Bombyx mori: one gene and its partner. The protein of the gene in region 1 purifies or fractionates together with the protein of each later gene. This does not show direct contact. Links are inferred from orthologs where the notes say so. Each region holds a gene or a part of one and is shown in the gene's direction. Other genes may lie near its edges.

The links.
Region 2: the proteins of cry1 (region 1) and F-box/LRR-repeat protein 15 purify together in Drosophila melanogaster (affinity purification with western blotting; 5 studies listed by BioGRID). This does not show direct contact. The link is inferred for Bombyx mori from reciprocal best matches to the Drosophila melanogaster genes cry and jet.

Annotation. Positions count from the first base shown.
Region 1 is NC_085123.1:13,764,515-13,768,930, forward strand, and holds the start of cry1 (cryptochrome 1), read left to right. Parts: upstream 1-1,610; 5' UTR 1,611-2,034; intron 2,035-4,416. UniProt on the Drosophila melanogaster protein: Blue light-dependent regulator that is the input of the circadian feedback loop. Has no photolyase activity for cyclobutane pyrimidine dimers or 6-4 photoproducts.
Region 2 is NC_085109.1:1,691,043-1,695,312, reverse strand, and holds the start of F-box/LRR-repeat protein 15, read left to right. Parts: upstream 1-1,360; 5' UTR 1,361-1,462; coding exon 1,463-1,660; intron 1,661-1,728; coding exon 1,729-2,195; intron 2,196-2,500; coding exon 2,501-2,654; 3' UTR 2,655-4,270.

The DNA of each region.
Region 1 (4,416 bases):
TTTCAAATAAAGCAATACAGAATTAAGTAAACTACTGCAATCTGTGTATTATTTCCTGACTGTTGGAAGTGGAGTTTTACAGGTTGATAATATAGAACTAATTGCCCCTTGTCTAGGCTGAATATAAACTAATCAATAAAAAATAAAGCCAAAAAATTTTTTTTTCCATTTGAACGGTATGCTCCAAATGAGCATCGGACGTAAGCTACTTCTTTTTCGTCGCTTTCTTCAGTACTGAAGGTCATGTCCTTGAAACTTGACCGTAGCCTGTCTCGTGAGTTGTTTCTACTTCGACCGGTCCTCAGCTTCTCGTAGGGCGGTTGCAACTGGCAGTCCAGTTAGGGTGGTTATTTGATCACACCAGCGGCTAGGTGATGTAAAGAAACTATATTTCTTTCAAATGTACTATCATTTGCACAGCGCTCTATAGCTCCTGTGCACTTATATAGATGGCGCTGTCGACAATGGTGACATGCGTTGTTAATGAAGGGAATGACATCTTCCATGTTCGGGCATATTGTTATAAATTAAATTAGATCATTATTTTAGGGAATTGAGAGTGGTGGACTTTAATATCGTTTCTGTGTTTTCAGGCGAGATACCTATAATGTGAATGTACTGTTAATTTCTGTTGTGTATGTTATTAAGTTGTAATTGTAAGTTATTAAAATAATAAAATCGCTGTTTTCAGAGCAACACCATATTTGTTTCAACTACAATTCCATTTATAATTCATAGTAAATTAAATAGAAAAGTCTTATAGTCTTTATAAATCATAGAGATGCACCGTAGATGAATGAATAATTCTAGAAAATGAAAGAAATCAACTTTTCATGATCAGTTCAAATTTTTTTTTATTGTTTACATGTGTGGACCAGCTCACAGGCCACCTGGTGCTAAGTGGTCACTGGAGCCCATAGACATCCACAACGTAAATGCGCCACCCAACTTGAGATATAAGCTCTAAGGTCTCAAGTATAGTTACAACGGCTGCCCCACCCTTCAAACCGAAACGCACTACTGCTTCACAGCAGAAATAGGCAGGGTGGTGGTACTTACCCGCGCGGACTCACAAGACGTCCTACCACCAGTAATTACGCAAATTATAATTTTGCGGGTTTGATTTTTACTACACGATGCTGTTCCTTCACCGTGGAGGTTAACCATGAACATTTGTCGAGTACGTATTACATTAGAAATTGTACCCGCCTGAGATTCGAACACCGGTGCATCGCTCAACACGAATGTATCGGACATCTTATCCTTTAGGCCACGACGCGGCGACGACTTCAAAACGGTTTTCACATTCATAGATAATATTAAATATTAAAAGAGTGGTAAAAAACGCTTTTGCCACCGAAAAAGTCTCAGTAAATGACCACCATTTTACTGAGATTATATTTCATCCTATATCATCTCATCTCAATTTGTTTTCATTTCGTTTCATAACATGTTTCATATTAATCAACTTCATTTCATTTCATAATATCCTTTTTCATTTAAAAAAAGTTTTCCTTAAAATTAAAATAAGACTTGACCTAAATATCCTAGTTACCAGGTCATTTAAAAAAAAACCGATAAATTTACGAAATGTCAAATTGCAAATTGCCATGTTTCTGTTTATTGTGGCCTAAATTTTTTGAAATTTAGTTAAATGATATGTTTATATAGATAATTTAAAACAATTTCAGCATTAATATGTACTTTAGATGTTTCTTATGCATGATTAAATAATGTGTTCGAGTGTAAAAATCGTGATATTTTGAAAAGTGCTGTTTGTTTACTACATTGATCCGCTAAGTTTGGATAAAGTATACTAATTATTATTGTTGGTATAAAAATCTTCTAAAAATTATTATTTACTTCAGTCGAACAACAAAGTGATGAGAACTTTCTTCTTATTGGTCGAAAGTAATATTAATATTAAAAAAGTAATACTCTATGAGTTCCGCTCCTGAAAACGATCACTCTACAAGTCTACAATATAAATTAAATGACAACATTACTTTGAAGTTGAGCATAACTACAAATCAGGTATGTTGAAAATATATTCTAATGTTGGGTTATTATTATTATTTTTTTCTTTATAATACGTTCACATTTTATTTTATTCAAATCACATCGTACAAATCTGTCATATTTTCTGAAGAGATAAAAAAAATCTGTAATTTAATTAGTCAATAAACAATAAAGCGTAATGTTACTATCATGCCTGTGAATTTTATTAGTGAATATCAATTTAGTGAAGAAGATGCGTGCATACATCACATGCAGATGTTGGGAAATGGTAGTGCAAGGTAGAGGAAGAGATAGACTGAAGAAAACATGGGTGGTGTATGTGAATGATGATATGAGAGAGAGGAGTGAGTGTTGAGCTGACGGCTGATAGAAGAGAATGGAAGAGAAAAATTAGCTGTGCTGATCCCACCTAGTGGGGTAAGGTGAAGAAAAAGAAAGAAAAAGGATTTACTGAAGTACACATTTTTGATGACTACTCAACTGTTTTTGATTCAATTCAAATTTGACTTTCGGTTTATTATTCTTAATTAATGACATAATATTTATTAGAAAGTTTATCTACTTGTTATTATGGTTAATTTCTAATATGAAAAAAGGATAGTACCTACCTATCTGTGCTCACTTACAATAAGCCATAATATTACCATCGCCGTACCAAGCCATAATATTACCGTAAGACAAAAAGAAATGGGTAGGTACCTATTTTATGAATATAATAATATATGTATTATTATAAACAGTGAAGCATTCATTGGAAACGAATTTCACTTTGATATAGGGGGAGTAAGGGGGTGAACGTAATTGCCATCGATACGGCCCCAAATGTCAACCTCACCTGCGCGACTGCGACGACTAGTAGTCGTGGTGCTCCCTGCTAGACAACGGACGAGGCAATGGCGACCGATCAGTGGCGGGATAACCATATCTCTAGCTGGACAACTAGCTGGATGAGGCTGCAGTGGCCTAGGGGGCTAAATCCCCCCTAAAATGTTTTGGGACGGAAAGGAATGGGAAGCTACCGTTACTATTTTTCACAAGAAAACCACCATGAGAAAAGTCAAAAGGAAGTTTAGTATGTCGAGCGCTCCGACTGACTCTCGGCGCTAGGACGAGTCCGGGTCTTCTGGTGTGAAGTTGGTTACCGGCTATGCGTACGGTCTGTGCGTCATCAGGCTGCTTATAGAAATTGGGTTACTGTTGACTCAAATACTAGTACCACAGGGCGGTTAGGCCATAAAAAATCCTTAATGTTGGCACCTGGAATATTCGCGGACTCTTGAGACCTGGGAAAATCGAAATATTTTGCAGAGAGATGGAAAGTTGTCACCTTGGTGTGATGGGCTTAAGTGAGACTCACCTTACCACAGATAAACCAGATTGACTATGTCATGATAGGAGAACGATGGAAATCATCTGTCCTGAATGTTAAGACGAGACCAGGTGCAGATTGTGGCAGTGACCACTCTCCGTCTCAAGTCAACCAAACAGCAGAAACCTAGGAAGGTGGTGGACATATCGTGTGGAGCACAGGATTTGTTTGCCAATGCCATTAAGGAGCGATTGCGTGATTTTGCCGTAGACTCCTTCGACTCTGTAAATCACCTGGGAACAGTTGAAACAGGTAACCTTGGTAATATAAATGCTGTCTGCGATGACATTCAAAGGGATTCTGAACGCATTCATTCTAAAGACATGTTCCGCAGAGTTAAACAGTTGGCCAAAGAGTACAAGCTGTAAACCTGGACGTTTGAGGACGAACGTGGATGTCTCATCATTGACAGGCAGGCTGCGCTAGATAGATGGAGGAAATACAGCCAATAGCTATATTGCGAAAAGGGCTGCGATGATATCGAAGAAAGGATGGACTGTAACCAACGTGGGCCAGATGTCCTTCTTTAAGAAGTTGAGGCAGCAATCAATAGGTTGAAGAAGAAAGCATGCGGGAGGGACAGCGTAACCGCTCTAATGTTAAAGAGCCTAGGCTCGGATGGTATCAAAGATTATACACTCCATTTGCAAGAAAGTATGGCGTATTGACCAGCGGCCTGAAGACTGGACGGAATCAATATTAATTCCCCTCCATAAAAAAGGCTCCACGCGCAAATGTGAGAACTACAGGACTATCTCCATAATCTCGCATGCCAGTAAAATTCTCCTATATATTGTCAATAAAAGACTGAGGAGTTTTATCAATAGGCAAATCGCAAAAGAGCATGTGGGTTTTATTAAGGGTCGAGGAACCAGAGAGCAGATCTTAAACATGAGATAGTTGATCGAAAAGGCAAGGGAGTTCAACGTCCCGATGGCTTTCTGCTTCATTGACTACGCCAAGGCTTGTGACTGCATCAACTGGAAGAAAATGTTCGACGTGATGCAAGAGATGGGAATACCGGACCA
Region 2 (4,270 bases), on another chromosome or scaffold:
AAGGGTAGAAAAATGGTGTACGACGTATATTGCTTCATTATAAAACAGGGGAAGAATGATATTATGGAAAAAGTAAAACAGACTTCGGAAGCAACAAAAACATCAGTGAGTACTGTTAGGTGCATTATTAACGAAGCTAAAGGCTCTGGCTTGCTCATCGTGCTTGGGACTCCGGGTAAGAAAAGATCAGGGAAGAAGAAAGTTACCGGAATGGATAGTTTCGTTCAATCTGTAATAAAAAGATGTAATCATAATAACTACATAACAAGCAGCGAAACTCCGTACCGTAGAAAGGCTTCGAAAATTTTAAAGAAGATATACATTTTAATGGCTCGGAATGAAGTTTACGACGAATTATGAAAGAGCTAGGCTTCAGATGGAAAAAAAAACAGAAAATAATCGGAAGCTGGTAATTGAAAAAAGTAACATTCGATTACTACGAATCGAATATCTTCAAAAAATAATTAATTATAGACAAAAAAGAAGATCGAACCGACCGAGTCGTAAATTACACCGATGAGCCCTATGTCGACTTATCACGATGATGGCAACTCGGGTGATGAAAACAGTGATGATGATAATGGTCAAGATTATGATAACGAAAAAAAATTACAAATACCAGCTTCGCTTCAACTGAACGAAGACCTGGCAACAGCTCTAGTTTTGACTTAATAGAAGGAATATCTATTTTACCCCAAGATTAAATTATTATAATTATTAACCTATATTTTTTGTTGATGTTCTAATAAATATATAAATAAATACATATGTTGATTTTAATAATTTAATAGCATTATGACGCAGAGTAAATAATGTTTTTGCACGTGAGTGTACCATGCGCAAACTTACCCCCACTACGTCAACAAATGCTCAAGAAGTTTGCCGGCTATTATACTAATTATAATCCAAAGTTCAGTAAGATAGTCCGCAGTAAAAAATTTGATTTTTCTCATTGAAATGCAAAAAATACCTTTGATAATTCAGTAATTACATTTGTTTAACAAATACTTATTTCGATAAAACATTATGCGGACTGCAATGATCATTCCAATTCTTAAAACAGACCCCGAGGTAAACTAATTGGTGACTCCTGGCCTAAAGAATGAGACCGATGTACTCGTGTTGAACACCACGCGTAGGTAGCTGAAATGGGTGCCAGCGATTAGCTTAGCCCCACAATATAACAGTGCGCCCGTCTTGCTACTAACAACTTCAGCGTTATGCTAACTCAGATTCATTCAAGTTCTTTTTTTTTCCGTTACGTTTCACGTTTTCTACATCTGACATTGCTTCAGCCTTTGATGAGATTTACCTGTATGGGTCTCGTTTTCTTTGCTATACAATAGACGAATCAACAAACAAAAACTAGCTAACTTCAATATTATGTCAAAAGCGTCAAATAAACAGAAATGAACGAAATTAAAGCTGTTATCGAGATAAATAAAGTAAAACACAAATTACAATGAAGAGAAACACTCAATTATTTGATTTATACTGGGAAGATATATTAGTCTCCAAAGTGCTACCGCATCTAACTATACGAGAGTGTTTAAGTTTTCGATGTGTTTCGAAAACATGTTTGCAAATTATAAACATGTATTTTGCGAAGTTAAAATCGTTAAAATTAATGAATAAAGGCTTTTCACCGCACACATTTAGGGTCAGTATTGCTGTCGAACCGTATATGCAGGGAACTTGGTAGAGAGACTTTTAAAATTATTATTGCAGGTGTTTGCAACGACATGCAGAAGACTAACCGTGCTGAATCTGAGCCGATGCGACACTATTACTGATGCAGACCTCATCCCCATGCTACTGCAAAATTCCAACATTACGAATCTAAACCTCAGTCAGTGCAACAGCCTCTCTGCCAAGTCTTTACAACCTGTGATATTGTACTGTAACAAACTTCAAATTCTGAAGCTATCGAAATGCTCGTGGCTCACGACCGGTGCTGTGGAGGCTCTCGCGTTACATCAGTCGAAACTTGAGGATGTTGACCTCTCATACTGCAGCTCTATAACGGAGAGCTGTATACTGATATTCATAAAAAAGTTCAGACATTTAAAAACATTCAGCTTAGAAGGAAATAAACAAGTAACAGATAAGATTTTGTACGCTTTATCCAAGTACAGTACTGAATTGAAACTTCTTAATCTAGGTGGCTGTGGTGATATTACCGATAAAGGTGTCAAGTAAGTAAATAATCGTTTATTAATAACTAGTGACCTGCCCTAGCTTCGCTTCGGAAACTGTGATTTATTATTGATTTCTCCACTATTTAATGAATGTTATTATACATATAAACCTTCCTCTTCAATCACTCTTATCTATTAAAGAAAACCGCATCAAAATCCGTTACGTAGTTTTAAAGATTTAAGCATACATAGGGACCTGATATAGGGACAGAGAAAGCGACTTTGTTTTATATTATGTAGTGATAAATCCATAATGGATCAAGATGCAAATAACATACTTAAGAATTATTCATGTGTTCCAGGGCTTTGGCTGTGCACAATAAGAATTTGGAAGGACTGATGGTGAGAAGTTGCACGAAGGTGACTGAAAACAGTCTAAAGATGCTAAGGGGCAGAGCTCACATTGATAGGAGATCAGTTGATCCCGGACCAATACCTATTTATTTGCCGATATAGTTTATATTTTAAACATTTTTATTACTGGTGATAGGACCTCTTGTTAGTCCGCACGGGTAGGTACCACCACCCTGCCTATTTCTGCTGTGAAGCAGTAATGCGTTTCGGTCTAAAGGGTACATCAGCCGTTGTAACTATACTGAGATCTTAGAACTTATATCTCAAGGTGGGTGGCGCATTTACGTTGTAGATTGTCTATGGGCTCCAGTAACCACTTAACACCAGGTGGGCTGTGAGCTCGTCCACCATCTAAGCAATAAAAATAAAAATATATTCATATTTTTTCTGCTTAGACAGTTGGATAAGCTCACGGCCCACCTGATGTTCAGTAGTTACTAAAACCCTAAGGACATCTAGAACCTAAATATCACCACCTACCTTGAAAGATAAGTTTTAAGGTCTCAGTTTTACAGTACAACGGCTGCCCCACCCGTCAAACCGTAACGCATTACCGATTCATCGTGTAGTGAGTAGGCAAGTACTCGCACACAACTTGGCGCAACTCCACAGGACTCCCACATCATCCTGCTGTTTGTACCAGCGAATGATAACGATTATTATTGTTAACTAGCTGACCCGGCAGACTTCGTAGTAACTCAATCGATAACTAAAAGACCTGAACTTTTGTATAAAATAAACTTAAAACAAACAAAAGGAATCTGTCCGATGGGGGGGACATCAAAGGAAAAACAAAATTATAATATATATATAATATTTTTATTTAATTCCGAGCATTTTCATATTTATTTGAAACCTTTTTAACCTCCTATGGACTTCCACAAATAATTCAAGACCAAAGTTAGCCAAATCGGTCCAGCCGTTCTCGAGTTTTAGCGAGAATAACGAACAGCAATTCATTTTTATATATAGACATTAGCTTTTTGTTTATAAGTGCGTGTTGTTGTGAATTTCAGTTATTACACTTTGTAAAATTTACTTGACCACTACAAGTAATAAAATTCGCCATTGTTTATCTAAGTATTATAAACAAAACAGTAAACTGGAAGTTTGGAACAAAAAGGACAGGGTGGTGGTACCTACCCATGTGGACTCGCAAGATGTCTGACCACCAGTAAACCAGAACTTGTTCCCAAAACATACAATTTCAACTTATACAAATGACATCCATGACATTATTGTATTTATAAGCATTGTTTGCATAAGCACTAGGGCTCAGGATAAATAAAAACTTTCACTGAAGTATAACAAAACTCAATCTCAATCAAAACTCAATTTAATTATGAGAACATTTAAAGTATACTTCACAATTCGCAATCCGCTTTGCTTCAGGTGATTCATTCACTTTGAGTAGATCTCAGTAACAGCACTGAGATCCTAATAACCTCGAGGGGTTATAATAGATTCGCCAAATGAGTACCTAAGTGAGCTCATGGGGCTCTAACCTGACGAATTTGCTAACACTAGCCCTAGTAAGGGCAGTGTTTCGCAGAATCTACATAGAGCATGATATAATATAAAATGTGTAGTGAACATTCATTCCTATAATTATCCTGGTCAATGGCATTGGAAAACCTGACCCCTTATAGATGAGCATGATGTCATTAACTACAAAAGATTAGTTAATTTATAACATGAAGTCAGTTTCCATTGTACTG